3 linked regions of the Caenorhabditis elegans genome follow. The protein of the gene in region 2 interacts with the protein of the main gene of each other region in a pairwise test. Each region holds a gene or a part of one and is shown on either strand. Other genes may lie near its edges.

Evidence for each region.
Region 1: the proteins of npr-3 (region 2) and spig-12 interact in a two-hybrid assay, tested with the Caenorhabditis elegans proteins (one large-scale study listed by BioGRID).
Region 3: the proteins of npr-3 (region 2) and Y39B6A.7 interact in a two-hybrid assay, tested with the Caenorhabditis elegans proteins (one large-scale study listed by BioGRID).

The regions. Positions count from the first base shown.
Region 1 is NC_003282.8:16,380,861-16,384,228, reverse strand, and holds spig-12 (BHLH domain-containing protein), read left to right. Parts: upstream 1-2,013; 5' UTR 2,014-2,051; coding exon 2,052-2,159; intron 2,160-2,308; exon of another isoform or gene 2,309-2,332; intron 2,333-2,434; coding exon 2,435-2,674; 3' UTR 2,675-2,851; downstream 2,852-3,368.
Region 2 is NC_003282.8:11,458,452-11,463,744, reverse strand, and holds npr-3 (Neuropeptide receptor 3), read right to left. Parts: upstream 3,762-5,293; 5' UTR 3,754-3,761; coding exon 3,592-3,753; intron 3,122-3,591; coding exon 2,969-3,121; intron 2,850-2,968; coding exon 2,766-2,849; intron 2,208-2,765; coding exon 2,071-2,207; intron 1,937-2,070; coding exon 1,721-1,936; intron 1,060-1,720; coding exon 768-1,059; intron 723-767; coding exon 636-722; 3' UTR 546-635; downstream 1-545. Other genes in the region: C10C6.3 (PH-15 domain-containing protein), read left to right, coding at 1-136. UniProt on the Caenorhabditis elegans protein: G-protein coupled receptor for flp-15 neuropeptides. Receptor activation assays suggest binding to predicted flp-15 peptides, GGPQGPLRF-NH2 and RGPSGPLRF-NH2. Likely involved in Gi/Go-coupled signaling pathways.
Region 3 is NC_003283.11:19,145,136-19,150,801, reverse strand, and holds Y39B6A.7 (SGNH hydrolase-type esterase domain-containing protein), read left to right. Parts: upstream 1-1,644; 5' UTR 1,645-1,654; coding exon 1,655-1,729; intron 1,730-1,777; coding exon 1,778-2,014; intron 2,015-2,186; exon of another isoform or gene 2,187-2,351; intron 2,352-2,772; coding exon 2,773-2,947; intron 2,948-2,993; coding exon 2,994-3,273; intron 3,274-3,408; exon of another isoform or gene 3,409-3,481; intron 3,482-3,673; exon of another isoform or gene 3,674-3,751; intron 3,752-3,982; coding exon 3,983-4,127; intron 4,128-4,285; coding exon 4,286-4,440; intron 4,441-4,906; coding exon 4,907-5,024; 3' UTR 5,025-5,149; downstream 5,150-5,666. Other genes in the region: cpg-23 (BPTI/Kunitz inhibitor domain-containing protein), read right to left, coding at 5,260-5,319, 5,377-5,501.

The sequences.
Region 1 (3,368 bases), 4.9 Mb from region 2:
TGTTCTACTGTTTTAGGTAGTTTAGAAATAAAGGAAATTCCTAATGTTAACGTTCCTATAGAAATCCGAGTCTGTTTTTTTAAATTATTTCGTAACAGTCTTAATAAAATAGATCGTAATGGCTAAGTATAACTGTAAGAAATGTAAAAAAAAATTCAAAAAGTAAATAAAATATTTTTCAATTCCCGCGCAACTGTGGTTTAAAATTAACAACATTTTACAAAAAATGTTGACTGCAAAATTATTGAAAAAAACCCGTTAATCCAGTAGGAATTTGAAAATAGTTTGGTTTTTTTTTGAATTTTTGTATGCAAAACTTTAAGGAAAAATCTTTAGATCCATTATTTTTTTTAGAGTTAATACGTTTTTTTTCTATATTTCTGCAACAGTAAAAATTTCAAATTCAATTTTTAGAAATCTATCAATTTAAAAAAAAATAATCGTTCCGAGTTTGGTTGCAGAAAAGTTTGACTATTACGAACTATACTATACCAAATTTATATTACACTTGTATAAGAAAAAGAGGAATATTGTTTCATTAAGTACTCAATCTTAGAAAATAGTTTATTGAAACAGTGAAAACATTTTCCACTAAATTTTATTTTTATTCCCGGTCCCTCTGTGTTCTCCCATTCGCCCAATATTTTATTTCAAAGAGCCTCTTTTCCCTCCCACACATTTCCATTTCAGGGGACCCCCTATCTTCAATTTTGCCCAAAATTCGTACTAGTCGTTTCTGCTTTTGTGGACCCCCTAGAAGGGTGCAAAAGTGAAAATGCGCGCAGCTGTTCGATGCAGGAAAAGCTCAACTTCTTAGGGGCTCATCAACTGCTGCTCGCCCCCTCGGGGGCAAAAATTGATACAGCTGCTCCGGGCGGGTATGGGCAGTAATTGGGTTTTGTAAGAGTACAGGTGGAATCTGTGAGAAAATTTGAAGAAAAAAAATTACTGTTTCAAAATCCTTATGTTTTGAAACTTTTTGAAAGCACTTTTAATGCACATTTCAGATCTTGATGAATCAGAGAAAACCATTTAATCCAAAGAAAATATACTGTTTCAACGAATCTGTATAGTAAAATAATGAGTACCGGGTGATGATGTTCTTTCTCTTCAAATTAATACTTTACACTTACAAGAACAATAAGTACTGGAAACAACTTTTTTCAAAAATTTAATGAACATTTTGAAATAGTGGAATGATTTTTTTAAAATTTAATTGTTTGAAAAAAATTATAAGCTGTTTTAACACATTTTCATATGAAAATGACGCAGTTTTAATGAATTATTTAGTTTTCGTAAAATTAAATTTCAAACAAAACATTTTTGCTGTTTCATATTATCTTTAAAAAAAAACTATTCCATTTTGAACGATGTTATGTCGATAGGCTTTTTCAATTTTTTCAAACTATTATAACTTTAAATACAGTTTTGAAACTTTAATAATTGAAAACAAAACTGGAAGTATTTGACATTTTTCGTGAACTTTTGAAAAAAAAATATTGTTTCAGAATATTGTTAAGAAATGTGTTCTATTTTGGATGATAGTAGATCTACCGGAGTTTTGAAAACAAAGTTAAACATTTCTTTTTCTCAAAATAATTTAAAAAAAAAACGTAAAAAGTAATGTTTCATCTTGGAGTATTGAAAAGGGTACTCAAAAAATTCCAAACAATTCCCCCGTTTACCTCCCGCTCCTCTAGACCCCGCCAACCCACATTTCTCAGCGGTCTCGTGGTGTAGTGGTTATCACATCTGTCTAACACACAGAAGGTCGGTGGTTCGAGCCCGCCCGAGATCAGTCTTCTTTTTTTCGTTGTTGTTGTGTTATACCGTTGTAAAATGTCTCCCAGTCTATCTATCGGCATTTTCCCTCTCTCCACCCTTTTATCTTCTTCCCCCCACCCGTACTCGCGCGCACCTGTGGTAGGCGTGGCCTGGACAGCAGCTGGGTGTACACAGATACACCCCGCCTCCTCCCTCCAACTGGACCTCCATTCTCATTCTGACTCTTCACAGACCGCTATTCAACTACTCGTCTCCTTTTCCTAAAAATGAAGAATATTTCTGCTCGTCCACAACGTGACACCATCTCCCACGTTTCACCAAAATCAAGGAAAATTCGAAAATCCACGTCAGCAGAGAGAAGAGAAAAGGAAAAAGTTGGTGATTTTTTATAAGTTTGAATAAAAATTTAAAAAAAAATCTGTATTTGAAACTGAAAAATCCAAATATCATCATCATTAGTTATATATAAAAAAATATCGTACGTCCGTCTCCTTTGTAGTTTGTAGTCTGGTGTCTAAATATTTTTTTTTGGTTTTACGACGAATTATTAAAAATACAACATTTGAAATGTTACATTTTTTTTCTGAAACAGAAATTTTTTTTCAAAATATAAAAATTCCACTTTTTTTCTAATTTTTCAAATTTCCAGGTAACAAACCGACTCCGACAATTGGTTGCCGCCGAGGAAGACACTGACCAATACGAGCTCGTCATGGCCACCATCGCCCACATCCGAGAGCTCCAGGCTCAGCTCAACGGGAAAGAAAACTCGCTGCCACGTGGCTTTGAACAATTCTTCACCTCCTCCGCCTCAGTGAGCCCACTCTCGTCGAGACCCGAATCACCGGAATCTTCTGTGGAATCATCATCGCCGAGGTCAACTGCATAGAAATGTTTAGACATTAGTGTTTTAGTTGTTATTTTGTAATTTTTCACAAAAATTTACATTTTTTGTGAACTTTTTTTTGTCAATTTTCATGTCGGGTACTTATATTTATTCATTCTGTACATAATTCTTTGAAAAAAACACTAAAAAACTATATAATAAATCTTAAAAAAGACCTTGAATCATTTATTTCTGTGAAAAAAAACGATGAGTGAAGAAATGAAAAGTGTGATAATTAATGGACATTGAGAAAGTGAAACTTTTTTTTTCCAATAGTTGCAAAAAAATTTTTTAGTGTCTAGCTTGTTAGGATTTGCATTAAGCAGACAATTGAGTTTAGAAATAACTGACAAAACGTTAGGAAAATTGTGAAACCTTTTGAAAAAATATTCAAAACTATGAAATTTCATTGAAACAGTAAAATTTTTAAATTATCAAAATTTGACATTTTTTGGAAACTGAAGCGAATTTGAGAAAAATCTGCCGAAAAAAATATGGGCAACAAAAAATAGTTACTTGCTCCCAAAAAAAACCGCATACTAGTCAGTTCAAAAAATTCTATATTGAAAATATTTTTTTGAAACAGTAATTGTTTTAAATTGAATTTTAAAATTAAACTTGCAATTTGTAGGGAATCACCAGAAGAACATTTATTCCAATAAGACGGAGTTTCTGAAAACCGCTGTTTTGAACTTTT
Region 2 (5,293 bases):
CAAGCTGACAACACCAACTTCTACGACTCCAGCCTCATCATTAACACCAAGTAATGCGTTGACACCTGGAAATGAGGATAAGAAGAAGATGACGACGGATTCGGAGGAAATTGAGCTTCACGAAAAGAAGAAGTAGAAAGAAGAAGAAGATTGCTTCGAACTTTTTTTGAGTATTTGCCTTTTTCTAGTATAAATCTTTGGTAGTTTGTAACAAAAGTTGTATTCACTGAATTAGGAATGGAAATGGGCATTAGAGGTGTGCAGCAAAACGTTTGGACAAATTATAATATTGCCGGTTACGGTTATCTACATTAGACATTTCCAGCGAGGCGTGACGGGGGCACCCAGTGCATCAAATATTAATCTAGAAGAGTTTGAAATTATAGAAAAAATCCGATTAATTCGGAATTAATTTTCCTTTTTTTTGAAATTGTCAACAAGAATGTGAAAAACAAGCTGAAAGTTGTATTTTGTCGAAATCATTTTAACAGGTTTTTTTGGCAAATGACAATTTTCAGAGACTACTTGTTTGTCAAACAATATTTTTTAGAACAAATACAATTTATTAAAGCTTTTTATCTAACAACCCGGTAGAATCATCACAGATTAGTTTCTAAAATTGTTAATCAGTTCGTTTATAAAAGTTGATCTCCAGCTCGATAGTCGTTTTCAGCAATTGTGATTTTTGTCTTTGTCGATGCAATTTCTGTTTCTTTTCGGATCTGAAGTTGAATTTACATATACTTTATTTTTTTAAGCAAACGAACCTCGGAGAAATTAGTCGGATACGAAACCATTTTACTGGTAGATTGTGGTTTCTTCTTGATCAATCTAGCTTCATCAGTACCCTTGAACAAAGTGGTGATACTTTGTCGGAATTGAGGATTGAACCAGGAATAGATGATTGGGTTGAGCACAGCGGAGCACATTGCGCATACGTGGCAAAGCGCAAAGACTGTAGAATACCATTTAGAAATTCCAAATAGGTCACGGTAGAGATTGACTGCATTGAATGGCATCCACGCGAGAACGAATCCAACAACCATTACGATCATCATTCTGAAATTAGAAAAATAATTTGAAGAAATTCCTGGAATTCTCCAGATTTTGTTTCTTTTGGAAAAATGATCATACATAGTCACCATCATAATCATCAGTCATGCATACTGCAGTGAATACAAAAAAAGAATGTAGTCTCTTTTGTTTGTTTTATTTTTTTTTGCTTCGTATTTTATTTCCCTTAGGAGTTCCTGGTTTTTGTCAAATTATGCAAGGTTTGACATGCTAATACAAATGACTATTTGTGTCTTTTGCAACGGGGTACAAAATTTGCAACAAAAAATAACAGAGAGAGCTTAATAATTCAGGTTTGGGGATTGCAGAAACGTGCCGATTCGAATGTTGAAAATGTATTCAATTGATGCAGAATTAATAATATATTACAAACGAATTAAAATCAGATCATCTAAAAATTATGAAAACTTCGTTAAAAAAATTGGGTCGAGTAGGGTTTTGGGAAATTTTTGAGTAAATTTGTTTGGATGGTAACACGGAATTTTTGAAGTGAATCAACTCTTTTTTTTCTTGAGAAACTGAATTGCACAAATCTTTCAAGGAAAAATTTCTTAAGTTTTGGAATTTTGTCCATTTTCTGACAAATGATTCACTTTAAAATTTATAATTTTTTCTTAAAAAAAAAAGAAAGTTTTGGAAAACAAACCGATTAGCTCTTGTCTTTCGATTCACCAGCTTTGTTTCAGATTCCGGTCGAATATTGTGCCCTCTTCTTCTTGCTAATTGATCTGACATCACTCGACTAATCATCCAGTAACAAATTGAACTTATCAATGCAGGAATACCAAATTGAAGTACCAACACAGAAAGTCCATAAGCTCTTCGAATTCCCGATCTTCCAGTATCCGGATTGAAATCAGGCCTGAAAATGTGATTAACGTTTTTTAAAGAACAGAAGAGCAAGAAAACATATATGAAAATAATTGGGATAATTATGGGAAGTGAAAAAGAAATAATGCAAGATAATTGGTCAAATCAATGAGACAAATGACGCACCAATTCTCTTCACAGAATGTGCCGCAAATTTCGTCGTATACTGCAATGTCGCTGTAGATGCCTACAGGAAGTGCTAGAGAGTATCCGAGAAGCCAAATGCAGAAAACAATGAAGACAGCTCTCGGGAAATTTACTATCTGCAATTTAAAAATTTAGACAAATTATATAGATTATTAAATTAAAAATTTTATTTTAAACGCAATTTTTAAATTAAAATCAAATTGTATCAAGGGTATTTAGATCGCCATGAAAAGGATGTTATCATGTTAGAGAATCACCTTTCTTCAAGCTTACGCCCCGGTCGGCCTGGTATAAGGCTTTTAACGGGTAGGCGTAGGTCGCCTTGAAGACAGGAAGGTAGGTTAACACAGTTTCCCGATTGAAAAAACGACTACAAAACGGGAAAGTTGAAGTCCTTGATTGTCCAAGGATCAAAATAAAATGACCAGTCTAATTATTTTTCCCGCCTTTCAGAAGATCATATTCTGAAGAAGAACAAGTTTCCATTAATATTGTACTTAAACACACAAAGAAATACATAGAAGATTTTTACTTGGAAGACATTCTCGACAATAATACATGGAAAAAATAATGAAAAGAGGCATAGAAAAAGAAGGCTCCAAACCACATCAATTTTTATCTGCTCAGAAAAGTTTACTGCAGAACTTCTGGACTGTTTTTTGGGGAGAGCCTACCTCCTGATTTGGACGTAGAATTAGTACACATCTGTCCAGAGCAATAACTGTTAATGTGAATGATGAGACAAAAATCGTACCGCCCTGAAAAGTTTCTGATTTTAATTCAAATTTCTGTTCGCTCCTGTTATTCTGATTAATACACAGTATTTCAGAGTCTAGACATTTATTTATAAATCCTGAAAATCTTATACAAATCTCACCTGGAAAACTCCGATCAACTTGCAAAATATAGCAGGAAATACCCAAACTCTTGAAAATATAGAAATCGCGGTAATTGGCAACGAGAAAAGGCACATTAGAAGGTCTGAACCAGCTAGACATCCAACAAATACCGTCCTAACTGACAGTGATACCTGAAGTTGGCAAATTAGCTTAATGAACTCTTTTCGGGCACTTTGAGCTCAATGACGAATTCTGGAGGTGGTTCGGTAATTGTACTTTCAATCATGTATGAAAGATTCTTGATTCACTAGGAAATTCGATGAATAAAATACCGGAAATTTGAGATGATGGTAGTATCAAAAACAATTTTTTTGAATTGAATGCGAGAAGAGAGATACGGAAGATTTTAATGAAGCCTAAGAACTTTCAAAACTGAAAGTTGAAGTCCTCAAAAATCCTCTTAAAAGGGGGAACCGCTCGTATTTTTTGAAAAAAAAAATTCTATGTAGTATTCTGATTGTTTCAAAAAAAAAATTCCGGAATGGTACAAATTTTAATTTAAAATTTTTTTTTAGAAATTATAACCAAGGTTTTTCAACAAAATAACACTTTTTCTCATATAAACTCGAGAACAAAGTCGATTTTTCTCAACAAAAAATACCTGATTAAAAGTGAGTACATAAAGTACTAGAGTGTTGCCAACAATAGCTCCAACCCAAACAAGAAGGTACAGTAACGAGAATATTGCTCTTATCTGGTTCATATCATTGTATTCAGGTTGCCACTGTTGTACTGTCATTACACAGTTTCGACCACCCTCCATTTTGATTTCTGTAAATATTTAAAATTTTTAAATTAAAATTTTCAAAAATTCCAGAAGAGGAGAACAAAAATATATAGCCAAGTCGTTGGGGTGAAATGAGAGATTGGAGAAAAAACAGGAAACGAATATTAATGAGGATTCATTGAGATTGACAAGGAAATTGGGTCACTAATATGATCAGAAGAAAATTTTGAAAAGAAAAAAAACCATCATAAAATGGAAATTTCAAAATTTTCAGCACGGGGAACTCCGCAACGACACCCTACCGTTGTAGCTCCCACTCCGTATTGTTAATAAATTTGAAAACATTTTCAAGGTTTTCATACACTCGATTCCACTTAAATTCACAGAGTACCCTAGTTAGAGCTGACAACAAAATTCACAAATTCATGGAGCCGATTTGAAAGAAAATACACCATTTTAAACATTAATGTCAGCGAGCCTTCTCTCTTAGAAATAGCAGTTACGTATTAAATATGAAAAATTATGTTCAATTTTGATGCGATTTCCGGAAGGCACACAAGGATTCTGAGATCGCAATATTTAAGTCGTGAGTTTTCAAAAATAATATAGCTTAAAAATTCAAGAAAACTCTTAAAAATAGCCTATTATCTGAAGAACACGGAAAAACAAGGATCCTCCAACTAAACAAAAACATAGAACCTAGAAATTATAAAAATGATGTCTAGAAAAATGTGACATCTATAATCAATGTCTTCTCCGAAAAGAAAGTGAAAATGACTCATAACTAGAAATTTTCGCCGAACAAGATCAAGCCTGATGCATAATGCAACTCCTCCTGCTTCCTTCCTTTAAAAGGCGGAGCCTGAAGCAGCTTCAGCTTTCAAGGCTTAAACGTGTGTTTCTTCTTTTTCTTCGTTCACCCCTAGCGGTTATTACTGGAAACACGAAGAAATTATTGTGAATGAGGAAGGGAGGCGGGAGTCTGTGGGGGAGTGAGGAAAAGAAGAAGGAAAAAATGGCAGGGTGCAAACTAATTTCCATTTTTCCGACCGACTTATTTTCTTTACTAATAATTGACAAAAACGACAACACGTGTTGCATAACATATGAGACAAGTAGGTTGTTTCAATTACACAAACGGACCTTTTCTTCTTGCTCCTTCCACTTCAATTGACTTCTTTTTCTGTGACAAGTCGAAAATGATAAAAAAGTACTACTACAAAAATGGGAGTTTTTCATTGAAAGGGAGTTTATCAAAATTACAGTACTCTTTTATGAATCGGAAAATAAAGATTTCCTGCAGAGACACAAACTTAAAAAAGATGTACGGTAAGAGTTCAAGAATCTTTATAATTTATGATGTTTTCAGAGTGAGTACAAGCCTATGTTATTTTCAGAAGCACAAATTTGCATAGGCAATGAAGAAAAAGGCCTTTTGAAGGGTGGTTTCGAAAATAGAGGCAACATTATTTCGGAATTTATAGATGCTAAGGAAATCCAAAGCAATGTCGCATGTTCCAACCCCTACAATGTTTTGATACAAATAATTAAAACAAAATTACAGTATAAAAAATGT
Region 3 (5,666 bases), on a different chromosome or scaffold from region 2:
TCTTTAGTTTTGTTTGGTTTTTTTAAGTTTTTATTAGACCCGGAAGGTGTCGGCTGCTTTTTCTAAGCAATTAGGAAAATTATGTGAAAGTTGAAAATTTTTTGAGTATTTATTCCAAAATATTTAGTAATTTATTTCAACCCGGCAGGTGTCCGCCGCTGTTTTCACAAGTTTATACAAAAGAAAAAACGCCATTTAGCAGCTAAAAGTATAAAGTTTAAACAATTTTGGCAAATTTTTGGGGTTGATGCACCATGTTATTAAACAATTTTGCAATTTTCCTCTTCCCGGCAAATGGCGGCTGTTTGATCTACCAATTTTTGGTGAAAATCTTTTTTTTAATCGATGCACCATGTTTTGTACGTCTTCTAGTTTGTTAAAGAGATTTTGTCATTTAAATTGCCCCGGCAAATGTCGGATGCTTGAGCTACTAATTTTTGAGGTAGTGTGATCATTTAAGCAGCAAAAATTTATAGTGTTTAGGCTTTTTAATTTGTTGAAAAAATTTGCCACAAAAACTCAACCGGCAGGTGTCGGCTGCTTATTAATTTGGTTTTAATGAATTTTTTTTGCAATTTATGCCATTTTTCATTGTCGATTCACCTTGTTTTGTAGGCTTTTTAGTTTATTAAAGAAGTTTGCCACAAAAATTTACCTGGCAAGTGTCGGATGCTAGATTTATCTTTTTTGCAAATTTTTGGAATTATTGCAATTTTCATTGTTGGTGCACTATGTTTTGTAGGCTTTTTCAGTTTTTCAAGCCATTTTTTTTCAAAAAAAAAAATTACCAAGCAGGTGTCGGCCGCTTATCAAGCCGGTTTTAGGCAAATTTTTGAAATTTTAGTTAATTTTTCCTGTCGATGCAACATGTTTTGTAGGCTTTTTAGTTTATTGAAAAAAAATTTTGTTACAAAAACCCAACCGGCAGGTGTCGGCTGCTGCTATGCAAATTTCTAGAAAATTTATTCAATTTTTGCTTTCGATGCACCATGCTTATTTTCCGGCCTTTTTTATATTATAATTTTTGTTGTATAGATTTTGTCATCTACTTCAATTTTGGCAACAAATTCCCCTTTGTCGGCACTTCTTTGCAGTGTTCAATTCAGTGTGTCGCCTCTTTGAAGTTGACCGCCTTTTCCCGCCAAAAAGTTAAGGATTTTAGGGAATTAAGTTTATCGGTTTGGTGCATGTGTGGTCGAGAATCAAAAAGAGGGGCGGCGGCATTTTTCCTTTGATCTCTATTTCTTTTTGTCGGTTGTCCAGATGGGGCGGAAGATGAAGCCCTCCCCCGCTACAGACAGTAGTGTGGAGAGTTCCCTTTTTTGGTGAAAATTCTGAATTTTTGGGTTTTTAGGGTGCTTTCTGTAAATTTCCCAAAATCTCACAATTTCCGTGATTTTATATAGAGCAGCCGACATTTTTCGGGTGGATTCAATCATAAATTGAAATTTTTTGCTCTCGATGCACCATGTTTTCAGGCTCAGATTTACCTGTGAAGAGTCGGCTGCTCATTTCACCGATTTTTAGGAATTTGATGCGCCATGTTTCAAATGAGCTTCCCAGGATTTTTTTAGGCTTTTGTGCTTTTAAAATATTTTCTCTAAAAATTCAATAATGTTCCAATTTTCTTCACATTTTTTTTTCAGAAAACAATATGCTGGCATTTTTATACTTTGTGCAAATGTTGATAAATTTCCCAAAAATGATGGTTATCAGCTGGAATAATATGGTAATTCCTTTTTTGCACCAAAAAAATCAAAAATCAATAATTCCCCAGATTTCATTTCAAAAATTGCCATCATCTGCGCCTTTAAACTTCCGGGTGACTACCGTATACCAGCAAAATCCGGAGCTTTGGATGACTCCTGCTGACGTCATCAGGAGTACTGTAGCAGTAAATGCGTCGGTTTGCCACTTGACAATGTCAAAGTCAACGTGGCTGACGTGGAAAGTCGGAGATCGGGTGGTGGAGACGAGGGATTGCAATCAAGTGATAAGGCTTAGTAGTAGTGAGGTGGGTATCGAGAAAAGCGCCAAGGCACGAGAAATGCGGCAAGAAACCAGAAATGCGCCAATACACGGGAAATGCGACAACTCACGAGAAATGCGCCAAGGCACGAGAAATGCGCCAATGCACGAGAATTGTGCCAAGGCACTATACTGACGACAGGGCACAAGAAATGCGCCAAGGCACCAGAAATGCGCCAATGCACGAGAAATGCGCCATGGCACAAGAAATGCGTCAAGGCACGAAAAATGCGCCAAGGCATCAGAAATGCGCCAAGAAACGAGAATTGCGCCAAGGCACGAAAAATGCGCCAAAGCACGAGAAATGCGCCAAGTCACTAGAACTGCGTCAAGGCACCAGAAATGTGCCAACGCACGAGAATTGCGCCAAGGCTCAAGAAATGCGCCAACGCACGAGAAATGCGCCATAACGCCAAATTTGCGTCGAGATATGCATGCAAATTTCACTCAAAAAATGTTAGAGCTCTAGGACCAGTTTCAAGAAAGATACGAGGCTTTCAAGTTGAACAGGAGACCGCGACGCGACACGCGCCGCGCCTGAAAACTTTGCATGACTGTAACTTTGCTCCCAGTCGTCCTAGAAGTCTGAAATTTTTTGTGTGAAGTTTTGTGAGAAGCTGGCTTCTAATGAACAACAAAGTTTAAAAATTACTAGGGAGACCGCGACGCGACCGCGACGCAACCACCAAACTTTAGGTGGCTGTAACTTTGCTCTTAATGCTCCAAAAACTCCAAAACTTTCAGACTATCATTTCCGTCACCTTATCAACACCTTTCAAAACTCAAAAGTTCCTATCAGAATTGATAAGTCCTCCAGCCAAGCCGTATTGGCTAGCAGCAATCGGTGATTCTTACTCCTCTGGTCAAGGAAATCCGGACATTCCAATGACACATGGCTCACCCGCTAAATGGTTAGATGGTAGGTACAGTACCCCATTTCTACAGTAACCCAACATATTTTTCAGATTCGTGTTACAGATCTTCCAAAGCATTTCCATACTTAGTTTCTCAAAAAATCAAAAATGTGACGTCATCTCTTTCATTTTTATCATGTTCTGGGAGTACGGTAGATCATGGAATCTTGTCGAAAAATGGACAAATGGAGAGGTTGGAGCAGATGATTTTGGCTCGCGGAGCCCCGCCAGATGTGCTTTTTCTGACTGTTGGGGGCAATGATATCGGGTTTACGGATGTGATTTCAATGATTCAACGGGATAAATTGAATGAGAAATTTTTTGATATGAGGTTTGAAATTTTTTATATTTTTACATTTTCTGCCTAAAATATTATAAGAAAATGAAGCTATTTTTGCTCGAACTACCCTGAAAATTTTAGCCAAATCTGTCAATTCTCCACCAAGTTATAACGGTATGAAGGTAGTGGCCTAGTATTGGATTTCTAGGCCACCAACTTAAAACCACTGTAACTCTGTTGAAATTTGAGGGATTTGGCTGAAATTTTATGAGCAAAATTCTTTAAATTCAATGTTTTAATCAAAATATTTATTTATAAAAAATGAAAAAATTTTCTGAGAAAATCAAAATTAAAAAAAAAAAGTTTTTTTTTCAATTTTTAAAAATTGTTTGATTGGACAAAAATTCACAAATTTGACGCCATTTTTGCTCAAAGTACTCTGAAAATTTGAGCCAAATCCGTCAATTTAGCACCAAGTTATGACGGTTTGAAGTTGGTGGCCTAGGTTTGGATTTCTAGGCCACCAACTTGATATCAATGTAGCTCGGTTGAAAATTGACGGATTTAGATAAGATTTTTTGACAAAATTAGTTGGACGACGGACTATTTGAAAACAAAATTTTATTTTGGAAAAAAAATTGTTTTTTATTTTTCTGAAAATTTTAAAAATTTTAAAGCATTTTTTGAAAAAAAATTTTTTTTTGAAAATTGATTTTTTAATTGATTTTTTAAATTTCATACAGTATTACATCTATTCCAGATTCTTTTTCGTATCTCATCAAATCGATCGGGTTGCAAGACGTCTTGAGGAGCTTAATATTACACGCGTAGTTATTCTTGACTACTATGACGTCACCAGAAATGAGAAGGGAGTGGTGGACGGGTCTTGCGGCGCTTTTGGACAGGCATGGTTGTTTTAAGTGAAAATTAAGAAAAATCGATATTTATTGATTTTCATTGAGAAAAATTATTTTTAATTTTATTAATTTTTTTGATAATATTTTTTAACGAAAAATTTTCCAAAAAGCTCTGCCGGATTACTGTATTTTTTTTCTCTTTCCAGGTCTCCCTACCAAATCTCCAGCTCGCCGAGCGCAAAATCTTCCAAAAACTCAATAACCTACTGCGACGGAAAGCAAAGCAACATGGCTGGGTTACCGTAGACACTACGGAAATATTCAGGACACGTGGCATTTGTTCAAAGGATTCGTTGATACGGTAGGTACAGTAACCCGGAGTACTGTACTCCAATTTTTTTGAAAATAGTTTGACTGTTTCTGTCTCATCAAGAGCGTTCAAATGACACCCCACATGACTAAGTTCCGATAACTTTGAATATTGACACAGCTGAAGTTGGTGCTACAGTAACCCTCGTGGCGAGACCCAAAATATGAAAAATTGCTAGAACCCAGGCATGATGGGTGTTATTTTAAAGGTCTCGGTGAAACAAATTCAATGACATTGGTTTCAGCTTGCTCAGGTTACAGTAGGTCAGGTTACTGTAGATTTTCGTGGTGGGACCCAACATTTTCTTGAAACAATTTTTTTTGGTTAAAAAATAGTCTTGATGGGTGTTATTTTAAAGGTCTAAATGAGCTGAATTCGAATTTTTTAATTAAATTGTGTGAAAACCAACAGTTTTTCAATTTTTCCGCCGGAACTTCTCTAAATTGTCGTATTTCAGGTCCCGTAACGAAAGTATGCGTCTCCAGGGCAACGAGTACGGCAGCTTCCATCCAAATGAAGATGCTCATGTAATAATTGCAGAGAAAATATTGAAATTGGATAATTTGGGTTTTTAAGAGTTTTTTTTTTTTTTTGGAAAAAAATTTTGAAAAAATTGATCTCCTGTAAATTTGATCTCTGAATTTTTATTTTTATTTTTATTTTAATCAATAAACAAAATTTATTAATAAATAAATAGTTTCTTGCAAAAAACTTAAAGCTTGGAATAGTGCCTAAAACAAAAAAAAAATCATTAAATTAAAAAAAATTAAAATTTCGGGAAAAAAAATTTTTTCAAAAAATTTTAAAAAATCAATCACAAAACTGCTCGCACTCTTCCCGGGTTCTTGGATGTGCAACATTTTGCTCTTTCTGAAATAAAAAAATAATTCATCGATTTTTCAAAAATCCCGCCAAAAAATCACTCACCAAACAATACCCATATGGGAAACTTTGGCAGACCCCGCCCACTTTTTCCCATCGATACACAAATTGGGATGAAGCACCGGAAGAGCACAAGAGACGATATGCGGTTGCTGAGCAGCTTACAGATTCTGGAAATATTGATTTTGAACGATTTGGCGGGAGTTTGAAATTTTGGGAAAAAATTCGAAATTTTTTTTCAAATTTCTAAAGTTTGTAACTTTTTTCGTTTTTGATATTTTTGAATTCGGTAAAAACCAATTAATAACACAAAAATTGACCTACAAATTCGTAAT